Regions from separate parts of the Mus musculus genome. Here all the other regions are reported to be linked to region 1. The links are microRNA targets in miRTarBase. Many come from high-throughput screens and were not tested one by one. Region 1 holds a microRNA gene; each other region holds the end of a gene's coding sequence.

The links. Region 1 holds the annotated microRNA mmu-miR-3472 (UAAUAGCCAGAAGCUGGAAGGAACC, at 2,106-2,130, opposite strand). A microRNA usually pairs through its seed, bases 2 to 8, with sites in the 3' UTR of a target mRNA and lowers its output. Matches are read on the target gene's strand: a 7mer-m8 pairs with bases 2 to 8, a 7mer-A1 pairs with bases 2 to 7 and ends in A, and an 8mer does both.
Region 2: the mRNA of Csmd1 is a reported target of mmu-miR-3472. Seed matches in the 3' UTR shown: 7mer-A1 at 3,483-3,489.
Region 3: miRTarBase lists Rbm34 as a target of mmu-miR-3472. Seed matches in the 3' UTR shown: 8mer at 1,097-1,104.

The regions. Positions count from the first base shown.
Region 1 is chrX:145,037,452-145,041,519 of GRCm38, reverse strand. Mir3472 (microRNA 3472) reads right to left here and starts at 2,176; the gene lies at 2,106-2,176. All of the region lies in intron 2 of Rtl4 (retrotransposon Gag like 4), which reads right to left.
Region 2 is chr8:15,892,403-15,896,470 of GRCm38, reverse strand. Csmd1 (CUB and Sushi multiple domains 1) reads left to right here. Exons shown (of 70, transcript NM_053171.2): 70 at 595-3,926. The coding sequence ends at 754. Among named protein-coding and RNA genes, the nearest start is that of Gm46073, 39 kb to the left of the region's middle.
Region 3 is chr8:126,945,802-126,949,869 of GRCm38, reverse strand. It overlaps Rbm34 (RNA binding motif protein 34), which reads left to right. Exons shown (of 11, transcript NM_172762.3): 11 at 327-2,698. The coding sequence ends at 635. It overlaps Tomm20 (translocase of outer mitochondrial membrane 20), which reads left to right and starts at 3,949. Exons shown (of 5, transcript NM_024214.2): 1 at 3,949-4,068.

The sequences.
Region 1 (4,068 bases):
CCATGCTCATAGATTGGCAGGATTAATATAGTAAAAATGCCTATCTTGCTGAAAGCAATCTACAGATTCAATGCAATCCCCATCAAAATTCCAACTCAATTCTTCACAGAGTTAGAAAGGGCAATTTGCAAATTCATCTGGAATAACAAAAAACCTAGGATAGCAAAAACTATTCTCAACAATAAAAGAACCTCTGATGGAATCACCATGCCTGAACTCAAGCTGTACTACAGAGCAATTGTGTTAAAAACTGCATGGTACTGGTACAGCAACAGACAGGTAGATCAATGGAATAGAATTGAAGACTCAGAAATGAACCCACATACCTATGGTCACTTGATCTTTGACAAGGGAGCTAAAACCATCCAGTGGAAAAAAAGACAGTATTTTCAACAAATGGTGCTGGCACAACTGACAGTTTTTATGTAGAAGAATGAGAATTGATCCATTGTTATTTACTTGTACAAAGCTCAAGTATAAGTGGACCAAGGAACTCCACATAAAACCAGAGAATCTGAAACTTTTAGAGGAGAAAGTGGTGAAAAGACTCAAAGATATGGACACAGGGGAAAAATTCCTGAACAGAACAGTAATGGCTTATGCTATAAGATCAAGAATTGACAAATGGGACCTCATAAAATTGCAAAGCTTCTGTAAGGCAAAAGACACTGTCAAGAAGACAAAAAGGCCACCAACATATTGGGAAAGCATCTTTACCAATACTAAATCTGATTGGGGACTAATAGCAAATATATATATAGAGAGAACTCAAGAAGATGGACTCCAGAAAATCAAATAACCCTATTAAAAATGGGGTGCACAGCTAAACAAAGAATTCTCAACTGTGGAATAATGAATGACTGAGAAGCACCTGAAAAAAATGTTCAACATGCTTAATCACCAGGGAAATGCAAATCAAAACAACTCTGAGATTCCACCTCACACCAGTCAGAATGGCTAATATCAAAAATTCAGGTGACAGCAGATGCTGGCAGGATGTGGAGGAAGAGGAACACTCCTCCATTGCTGGTGGGATTACAAGCTGGTACAACCACTTTGGAAATCAGTTTGGGGGGTCCTCAGAAAATTGGACATTGTACTTCTGGAAGATCCAGTAATACCTCTCTTGGGCATATATCCAGAAGATGTTCCAACTTATAAATGGACACAGGCTCCACTATGTTTATAGCAGCCTTATTTATTTATTTATTTATTTATTTATTTTCTCTAGTTTTTTTTTTCCATTTTTTATTAGGTATTTCGCTCATTTACATTTGCAATGCTATACCAAAAGTCCCCCATAGCCACCCACCCCCTCTCCCCTACCCACCCACTACCCTTTTATGGCCCTGGCGTTCCCCTGTACTGGGGCATATAAAGTTTGCGTGTCCAATGGGCCTCTCTTTCCAGTGATGGCCGACTAGGCCATCTTTTGATGCATATGCAGCTAGAGTCAAGAGCTCCGGGGTACTGGTTAGTTCATAATGTTGTTCCACCTATAGGGTTGCAGATCCCTTTAGCTTCTTTGGTACTTTCTCTAGCTCCTTCATTGGGGGCCATGTGATCCATCCAATAGCCGACTGTGAGCATCCACTTCTATGTTTGCTAGGCCCAGGCATACTCTGACAAGAGGCAGCTATATCAGGGTCCTTTCAGCATAATCTTGCTAGTGTATGCAATGGTGTCAGCATTTGGAAGCTGATTATGGGATGGATCCCCGGATATGCTAGTGTCTACATGGTCCATCCTTTTATCTCAGCTCCAAACTTTGTCTCTGTAACTCCTTCCAAGGGTGTTTTGTTCCCACTTCTAAGGAGGGGCATAGTGTTCACACTTCAGTCTTCATTTTTCTTGAGTTTCATGTGTTTAGGAAATTGTATCTTATATCTTGGGTATCTTAGGTTTTGGGCTAATATCCACTTATCAGTGAGTACATATTGTGTGAGTTCCTTTGTGAATGTGTTACCTCACTCAGGATGATGCCCTCCAGGTCGATCCATTTGGCTAGGAATTTCATAAATTCATTCTTTTTAATAGCTGAGTAGTACTCCATTGTGTAGATGTACCACATTTTCTGTATCCATTCCTCTGTTGAGGGGCATCTGGGTTCCTTCCAGCTTCTGGCTATTATAAATAAGGAGCAGCCTTATTTATAATAGCCAGAAGCTGGAAAGAACCCAAATGTCCCTCAACAGAAGAATAGATACAGAAAATGTGGTACATTTACACAATGGAGTACCACTCATCTAGTAAAAACAATGAATTTATGAAATTCTTAGGCAAATGCATGTATAAGAAGGTTATCATCCTCAGTGAGGTTACCCAATCACAAAAGAACTCACATGATATGCACTCTTTGTTAAGTGAATATTATCCCAGAAATGTACAATACACATGATAAAGTTTGCAAAACACATGAAACTCAAGAAGGAAGACCAAAGTGTGGATACTTCGTTCCTTCTTAGAATGGGGAACAAAATACTCATGGAAGAAGTTAGAGACAATGTTCAGAGCAGAACCTGAAGGAATGACCATCCAGAGACTGCCCCACTTGGGGATCCACCCCATAAACAACCATGAAACCCAGACACTAGACAGTTGCCAACAAGAGCCTGCTGGCAGGACTTATCTCCTCTGAGGCTCTGCCAGTGTCTGGAAAATACAGATGTGGATGCTCACAGTCATCCATTGGATGGAGCACAAGGTCACCAATGAAGGACCTAGAGAAATACCCCATGAGCTGAATGGGACTGAAGCCTCATGGAAGGAACATCAATATGAACTAACCAGTACCCCCAGAGTTCCTTGGAACTATACCACCAATCAAAGAAAACTCATGGTGGAACTTGTTGCTCTAGCTATATGTAGCAGAGGATGGCCTAGTTGGTCATCAATGAGAGAAGAGGCCCTTGGTCCTGTGAAGACTCTATGCCCCAGTATAGGGGAATTTCAGGACCAGGAATGGGACCATGTTGGGGAGCAAGGGGAGGGGGAGGGGATGGGGGATTTTTGGAGAGGAAACTAGGAAAGAGGATATCATTTGAAATGTAAATTAAAAAATACCTAATTAAAAAAATTACAAAAAAAGACTGTCTTTGTGGTATTTTGGTGAAGAATGTGGCTACATTGTCTGAAAAAGTCTGCCTGAGACTAAGGTGAAGAGACTCAGATTAATTGCTCTGACAAAGGAAGTTTCAAAAATGCCCAGCAGATACTTTATTCTCTTGTTATGTCTTATGAAGAGAAGTTTGAACAAGCATAGCAAACGTAGAAAGGAAAAATATAAAATATATGGTTCAAGTATTAAAGGGGTACCAGGAAGTGAAATGGAGCAAAAATTCTGTCTTCTAAAAGATAACACATTAAGGTAGTAGGAGTTTGGGGCAAAATTCTACCCAGCTAAATTTAGATCCAGGCATGGTGGTGTACACCTTTAATCCCAGGAGAGAGGCATGCTGATCTCTGCATTCAAGGTCTATCTACAGAGCAAGATCCAGATCAAACAAGCTTAGGTAGTGAAGGATTTGGAAAACATAAAGCCAGTGATAATGTACTAGTACAAGTGGGTCATGTTCTAGTTCTTGCAAGCAGCAAAACTCGGCAGCTTCAGCCATGTGACTCTGGCCCTAGAATTAAGAATGAAAGGAACTACTGGGATAATTGATGCTGGTTAGCTGGAGCTAAGAAATTAGCAATAATTGAGACCAGCATCAATGAGATGAAAGCGTCTGGGAATTGTTTTCTGGGAGCACAAATAAGCTGTATTCCAGAGATAGCCAAGGTTGCACCTCATTCTGCGGTTGGACTTGGTAATGATTAAGAGTCACCCAGGTGGTACTGGTTTTGAAGGCATGAAGGTGTCATGAAGAAAAGGTGAGGCTTGGCACTGTGAGAGGTCATGGAAAGCCATTGGAAAAGATGTAGCCTCAGCTGTAGTTGAAGGCCCAGGACTGAAGGGGTCATGCAAAGGATTTGAGGCTTGGCACCATGAAGAGAGCCTATGAGAGGCTATTGGTGAAGCCTAGTTGGAGTGGAACACCCCAGTGTGTTGGAAATGCCAGTGCCATG
Region 2 (4,068 bases), not on the chromosome of region 1:
TCAGAAGCAAGCACTCTTAACTGCCAAGCCATTCCTCCAGCTAAACAAGGTGGCTGATTCTGACCCATCAGGGGATGAAAAACTGCATTGTAAAAGTAATCATCATTTAGTGAATTCTGCTAGTAGAGATGAACGTATTAGAAATTGAAATGGCTTTGAAGTGCTGCCTGCCCCACGCACACACATGGGCTGAGCACTGATTTCACCCCATAAAGCCTGTAGTGGCTTCCCCAAGTCCTTGCCGCTTACTGGCAATAGATGGCTTTCCAGACCGAATATCTCCCTGCGTGCTGCCTCTAATATCTTCAGAGTTCCCCAAACTTTCCTTCAATGCATAGAGAGATTTATTTTTATTTTATTTTATTTTATTTTATTTTATTTTATTGATATGGAAAATGATTTCCAACTTTATTTATATTCTGTTTATAATCTCAAACAGCAATTTTTAAAGAGTCAACACATAGTGAAGTAGCTACTATGCCCTCTCCTCCCCATAACCTTACACGAATATTTTCTGCTGAGAATGCATGGAGACTGGGTGGAGGCTATGTCATTGCAGTTAGAATCTGATTATGTTCTCTCTTTTCTCTTTAGAACAAGACCAAAAGTTCAATATAATGGCTATGCTGGCCATGAAAACAGTAATGGACAAGCTTCATTTGAAAACCCCATGTATGATACAAACTTAAAACCCACAGAGGCCAAGGCTGTGAGGTTTGACACGACTCTGAACACAGTGTGTACAGTGGTATAGCCCTCAGTGCCCCCTAGGACCGATTCATAGCCATACCTCTGATGGACAAGCAGTAAAATCCTTTGGTGCCATATACCACCCCCCTTCTACTCTTGCCTTGCTGCAGCAACCTTGGCCATCGTCTGCTGGCATAACGCAGTGGGAATTTCTTCTCAACCATGACCGAGTCTTCTGAGGATCAAATTGCAAATACATCTTCATCTGGAAAGTGGATTATAAAAGCCTGGCTGCTGCCTCCACCAGACATCAAGACACCGACAACGGCGAGGGCAAGGAAGACTGTAGTCTTACAGACAGGTGGTACTTAATGCCTCTGACTTTTGTGTCTCTGTGTGGCCAGGATGCCTTTGGATGTAGTCTTCTGAGCATATGGATACATCCTTCAGGTGCGGCGACAAAATGGTAGCAACTTGATATGTGTTTTGTGTTTTTCTTTTCTTTTTAACCCTATTCCCTGGACACGAATTCTTTACAAAAGAAAAACCTTCCTGGAGAAGACGTCTTCTGGAAAATGCACACACGTACACTCGCTTCACTCCACCCTGCCTGAGACATGAGCTCTGTGGATCTTCAGGCTCCATTGGGCATCCATCAACTACTAGGGATGTTTGCAGATCCCACAGTCAGAGCTGTTCCATCCAGGATTCTTGATGCTCAACATTTTGCACTAGTGTGTTAAGAACAACTAAGTCTGATTTCTAAACAATTTCCACAGGGTTTGTATTCATTATACATTGTACATAAGCATTTTCTCATATTGTATTCTCAAGCAACAGATGCCACCATCAATTAAGTTGGAATGTAAAGGGAAGTATCCCAGATACAGCACAGATTTTGAAAATAAGACAGTATGCTGAAGAAGTTATATTATCACTTCTGTTGGCCACACTTATGTGTCAAATCCATTGCCCACTTCTGGTGGTAGAAATGAAACCACATAGTCCCCTTGACTTCCCCCCTTCATGTGTATACAACTATTGTCTATACATTACTAATCAATAACAGGGGGCTCCAGCAATGTCCATTTTCCATGTACAGTGTGAATAGTAATTTATTTTAGGTAGCTCATGAACTCAGTTCACAGTGTAGTCTTCCCTTCTGAATTGTTTCCTTTCTCTGTTCTGTAACATCACCCTCCCAGAATGCATTGAGAGTCTTATCTCACAGCCACACCCAAGCTCAGAGGAATCAAAAGGGAAATCAAAGTTCAAATCAGAATCGGAAGGGCAGGCGCCACTCGCACACCCTCATGATGATCTGTTTTATAGATTATTTGCCTTCTTGCAAAAAAAAATCATTAGAGTGATTTTTGAAACGTTAAAATTCCTTACTGATAGACTATCTATTATGATATATATAAGATAGGTGGTATGGCCAACAGGGATAAAATAAACAGCCTGAAGACAAGGCAGGGCCAGAGAAATGTCTGTAAGAAATTCAAAGAGAAGATCATGTTTATTTTTATTTATATTTGTTTGATAAAAGTATTTTTGGAAATATAATGCTTATTTTATTATTTGACGTTTCATGCACAGTCCATGTGGTAAAAATCCCCCCGTTTGCACATCCCAGATTTGCACTGATACATGGGTCAGGATGCCATGCTGACGTTCTGTTTGCTGGTGACTACATTCATGCCTAGCTTTAAGACAGGTGGATCTGTCTATCTACATGATGTTTAAATGCAGGACTTCCCAGAGGACAATGGATAAAGAAATATTGGCTTACAGCTTTGGAAGTTCAGCATTCTGAGCATTCCAGAGGCCCCGCTGGGCTTCCTCCTTCCAGCCCTCTCTTCTTGCAAGGGCTGTCTGTTGTGTCAGGACTCCTGACTTCTGTCAACACTCTATCCACTGGGATTCATATTTCAGGACTCCATGTCCTAGGAAGGAGTTTTGATATAGGTTCCTTCAGCCAAGCCAACACACATCCATGGGATTCCTCTGGGTCCACAGAGGTTCTTCATTGGCTCCCTGGGAAATTCAGATGATGTCAACAAGAGTGTGCTTCTAACCACACATAGAGCCAAAACAAAACAGAGAGCGTCAGAGGGTCCACAGACCAGAGTGCGTAAGGGAGAACAGGGTTACTATATATATTAGATGTATATAAAAACACACACACAAACATATATATATTTATATATATATTGTACATATCTAAGTTTGAGTCACTCAGACTAGGTGCAAAATGCTGACTTTGGAGTCTAAACTAACGTCTCTGTCCCCACATCCCTGGCCTCTTTGCTGGCCAGTTACATTAAGAAGACTTGACTCAGACAGGGCATACATACATGCAAGGAGCCACATCGTTAGACCAGTGTCGTTTTCCTTTGTGTGCAAACTGACTTACAGCTACCAGACTGCATCGTGGTATTCAAAACCAACATACAATATTGAGCAGCACTCAGTTGAGAGCCTAGCTCAATTCTTCCTAGGATGTGTGTGTGTGTGTGTGTGTGTGTGTGTGTGTGTGTGTGTGTGGTGTTTCACCAGGTCTCAGAGGCATTGAAGACCTAGCAGGACAGTCAGGAACACCTTCCTCAGTGAGGTCTCGACTCTTCCCTGAAGCGCCCAGAGCACAGTGAGGAGACACGCTATGAGTGACAGATTTTGTGCTTTGAAGCTGTTCAACTGTCGCTTGTCTTTGCCCATCTTGCCTTCAGGCTAGCTGCAATAATTTTTTTCTTCTGTAAAATATTTTGTAAACAATAACAACAACAACAAAAGCTATTATAAAAAAAAAAGGGAGAAAAGAAAGCTGGCATTATGATCAGGAAAACCATCCATTCTCGCTGCCCCACCCTCCCGTCCCCACCACACGCTGCTGTCACAACGTAGGTGCGGAAGACCTTTTTGTACAGAGATATATTTTTTATGAAGAATTTGTAAAATTATTAAATATGCTGTAATTTTTTGATTAATGTAGGTAAATTGTTAAAAAAAATAAATGTTTTTACAATACAAAACTGTAATTTTCCCGATAATGTAACATTACCCTCTCTAGCTGATTTTCGGTTCCAATCCTATTCGACATGTATTAATATTAAGGCGGCCTGTTAAAATGAACAGTATCTTTTTGTCAAAAAAAATTATAAAGAGAGTGTAACATAACCTGTGTAATGCCACCTATCTTTAAAGCAAATCAGAGTTCTAATTAAATATTTAATTTTAGATTTCTTTTTTTGTGTGAATTTATTTTAGCTTTACCATACACAAGGAAGTCTCTGGCAGGGGAGGGGCTGAACAGAAGTGTTGTTAATAATCCTTTATAATAGTAAGAACAAAGCTCAATCTTTTCCCAAGCCAGTGGCA
Region 3 (4,068 bases), not on the chromosome of region 1:
TTCTGCTTACAACAGGAATTTTAAGAAAGTTGTGTTTTGAGCTGATTACTGTTTTAAAGAGACATCATATGATGAACAGTGAACCTGTGGTGGTGATTATGAGCATTTAGTGAAGCAGCTTGAGCGCCACCTGTAGCCGTGAGTGGAACATGAGCAACAAGGGGTTCAAGCAAGGCTGACCAAACCCTTGGATCTGACCTCTAGGGCATAGACTAGAAGGACTTGTGTGTACAAGCTTGAAGACTGACATAGACCACTGAATTCTGACCTACTAGTCTCATTGCATATCACTTTCTGGTGGAAATTAATGTTTCTCCTTATTGCAGAACACAGATGCTGTTCATCTTGCTTTGAAGTTAAATAATTCTGAGCTAATGGGAAGAAAACTGAGAGTCATGCGTTCTGTTAATAAAGAAAAACTAAAACAACAGAATTCAAATCCAAGCTTGAAGAAGGATGTCATTAAACCTAAGCAAAGACTTAATTTTACTTCCAAAGAAGGAAAATTCCATTCCAAAGAAGGAAAATTCCATTCCAAGAATGCATTTATTGGAGAAAAGGCAGTTCTCATGAAAAAGAAAAAGAAAGGACAAAAGAAAAAAGTACAAATGAAGAAACCAAGAAAACAGCAGTAATAACTGAGGTTGCCTCCTTTCTGTGGTGAAACCTTGCAATGAGTGTCTGGGTTTTTTATGGATTATGTAGAAAATGTGGAGGCATCCACGGTGTCTGGTTTTTGTTTTTGTTTTTTTTTTAATTCATGCTATATGTAAGGCTTCTTTGAAGCCTTGTTCTTAGAAATGTATTTAAAGAAAAATAATAAACATTAATACTCTGTGTTTAGGATAAGTGTTCAAATGGTCACTGTGAGAATACTGATTCCAGGTATAGTCACAGTCCCTAAGAAAGACTTGTGAGCTGTGTAAAACACACACGCACATTCTTCACTTCTCATTTTTCTTTCTCTTGCAATTGTAGTATAGATCTACATTTCTTATCCCATATATCTAATAATTGCTAACCAATAAGACTGATAGGATAAGAGTGACTATCTTCTAATTCGTTGCCAGTGACTACAGTGGTCAATGATGTCCTTGGCTATTAGGTGTGTGTGTGTGTGGAGGGGGGGGTGCTCATAAGAAAAATACTCTTCCAGGAAAATGTGATGCTTAAATTAGTATCACTCAGAATGAAACAGCTGTCCCAGAAAGTTTAAAGACAGCATCTAATAAATGATGTTAATTAAACTGCAGTCTTTAAAGTTGAATGACATGACAACATGGTGCTGCATTCCCTAAGTTCCAGACACATCTTACCAAGCTGGGGCTGGATCCAGGATGAAGTGGGGGAAGCAGGAAGCCAAGGCTGATTCAGGCAGGCAGAGTCCAGTAGGCAAGAGGGTAGGATAAGTTTTCACTCTTTTAGTTGTAAAAGTTCTGTCTTTGGGAAATGCCATGTAGAAAACCTAATGAGGTCTTTAAAACATAGCTCTAGGGGCTGGAGAGATGGCTCAGCAGTTAAGAATACTGACTGCTCTTCCAAAGGTCCTGAGTTCAAATCTCAGCAACCACATAGTAGCTCGCAACCATCCGTAATGAGATCTGATGCCCTCTTCTGTTGTTTGTTTGTTTGAGACAGGGTTTCTCTGTATAGCCTTGGCTGTCCTGGAACTCACTTTGCAGACCAGGCTGACCTTGAACTCAGAAATCCGCCTGCCTCTGCCCCCCAAGTGCTGGGATTAAAGGCGTGCGCCACCATGCCTGGCTGATGCTCTCTTCTGGAATGTCTGGATACAACTACAGTGTACTTACACATAAATAAATCTTAAACAAAAAACAAACAAACCCCATAGCTCTAGAGGCTGGAGAGTTGGTTTCTTGGTTAAGAGCATGCACTGCTCTTCAGAGTACCTAAGTTCAATTCCTAGTACCCACGTCAAGCAGTTCACAACTGTCTGTAACTTGAGCTCCTAGGTCCAACTCCTCTAGTCTCCCCAGACTTTGTGCACTTTTTCACTAACATAACCTACACACACATATATACAAGTAAAAAATAAAAGTGTGGGGCTGGAGAGATGGCTCAGTGGTTAAGAGCACTGACTGTTCTTCTAGAGGTCCTGAGTTCAATTCCCAGCAACCACATGGTGGCTCACAACCATCTGTCCGATGCACTCTTCTGCTGTGTGTCTGAAGTCAGCTACCGTGTACTCACATTAAATAAATATTAAAAAATAAATAAAAGTGTGTAGCTTTTACAGCAGAGAAAGCTCTATTTCCTGTATCCAAGACTGGATAATTTATGGTTGGTTTTCCTTACAGTATTTAGAACCTTTTCAGTTAAATTTCAGCAATTTTACCTGATCACTCTGGAGCATTTTTGCATAAACTATATAAAGATGTAACATTAGATTGTGCGTGCATATATAATCTATGTACAACTTACAGCTCCTGTGAGTGAGCAGGTTATATACATGCATAGATGTAACTTTATTTAATATGTGTATGATGTGAATGTGGAGGCCAGAAGAAAACTCTGGAGTTTTCTCCTTCCAAAGCATGGACTCACTCAGCCATCTCACTGGCCCTAGATACTTTGGAATTCGGTACTGTGTAACTGTTGAAATTCCTCCTTTAGAATGTGTGTGCTACTATGATTGTGTAAATCATTAAAAAATGTATTTTGTAGGAAATTTTCTAAAGATGCTTAGTGTAATTTCTTGGTACGTTCTATCTGATAAAATACTTAATAGCCACAAGACTATGTATATAAGTGGTCAAGAGTGGATAGAAGTTGGCTTTGTTATAAAAGTGCTGGCTAAGTACTGATTAGTCATGAGTATGAAACATTTTTTTCTTGTAAACTTTTTTTCTCCCTTAACATAGCTTCAAAAAATCCTTAAAGGGGCTAGAGAGATGGCTCAGCAGTTAAGAGCACTGGCTATTCTTCCAGAGGTGCTGAGTTCAATTCCCAGCGACCACACGGTGGCTCACGACCATCTGTAATGCTATCTAATGCTCTTTTCTGGTACGAAGGTGTACATGCAGGTAGAGCACTCATATGCATAAATGAAAAAAAAAAGCATTCTTACAATGAGAGGTGCAGGAAAGGCTTGCATCGGCTACCTCTTATCACTGTACCCAATTCTCAGAGACTGCAGCATAGCTTGTCACTGTCCCAGGTTTCGATGTTTCCTCAGTGAAGGGAGCAGTTGCTGTACCAGACTGCCTTTCCTTCAAAAGCCAGCCACAAGTGTGGTGGGTGGGTTCGAGCATTAGTAACGAGCTGGTTGGGAATCTTGATGGGGGTTGTGGAGGAGGGAGAGAACGACAAGACTGCAGTTTAATGACGGCACAAATCAGGGCCACCCATAGACTTTTTTTTTTTTTTTTTTTGCCCTTCTGCATTCCTTACAGGTTAAATTTTTTTGAACGAATTAACCCATTTTTCTTCTCCGCACCAGGGCTACATCATAAAATTATTTTGCAGTCAATCATTGTGTCTAATCTCAGTCACAACGCAATTTACAAAGCAAATACTGCCAGATCAGGCGGCTCAGGTCTTCCTTTAAAACCACAGCTCAGAGGATGAGGCAAAAGGATTGCAGGTTCGAGGCCAGGGCAGACTACACAGCAAGTTCCAGACCCTACTATGCTACAAGGGGAGAGCCCGTCTCAAAAACCTAAAAAGCAAACGCATGCACTTCAAGTCACAGGCTTCCTGAAGGACACAGTGAGATGAGATGCTGTTCTCAGCCGGCTCCCACCTTCGTCTTTCATTAGCAAGGACAGTGGATTAGAGGCTTCTGACTCAGCACGCCACAAACACGTGCTGCCCCTGACCCCCTGGTCACGGGATGACGCACAAATCCTTCTGCAGTGCACGCCCCGCCCCCAGCTTGGCGTCTCAGCCGCGCAGACTGGGTCCATCTGCGCGTGCGCACCAGGCGTTCCCGCGCAGGCACCGCCGCGGACAGCCCGCCGCGGACCTTCCCCCGGGGTCCTCGCGCGCCGGAAGTCCTCGCGCTCGGCCTTTTCCGTCTGGACTGGAGGCAGGCGGCTGCGAGCGGCC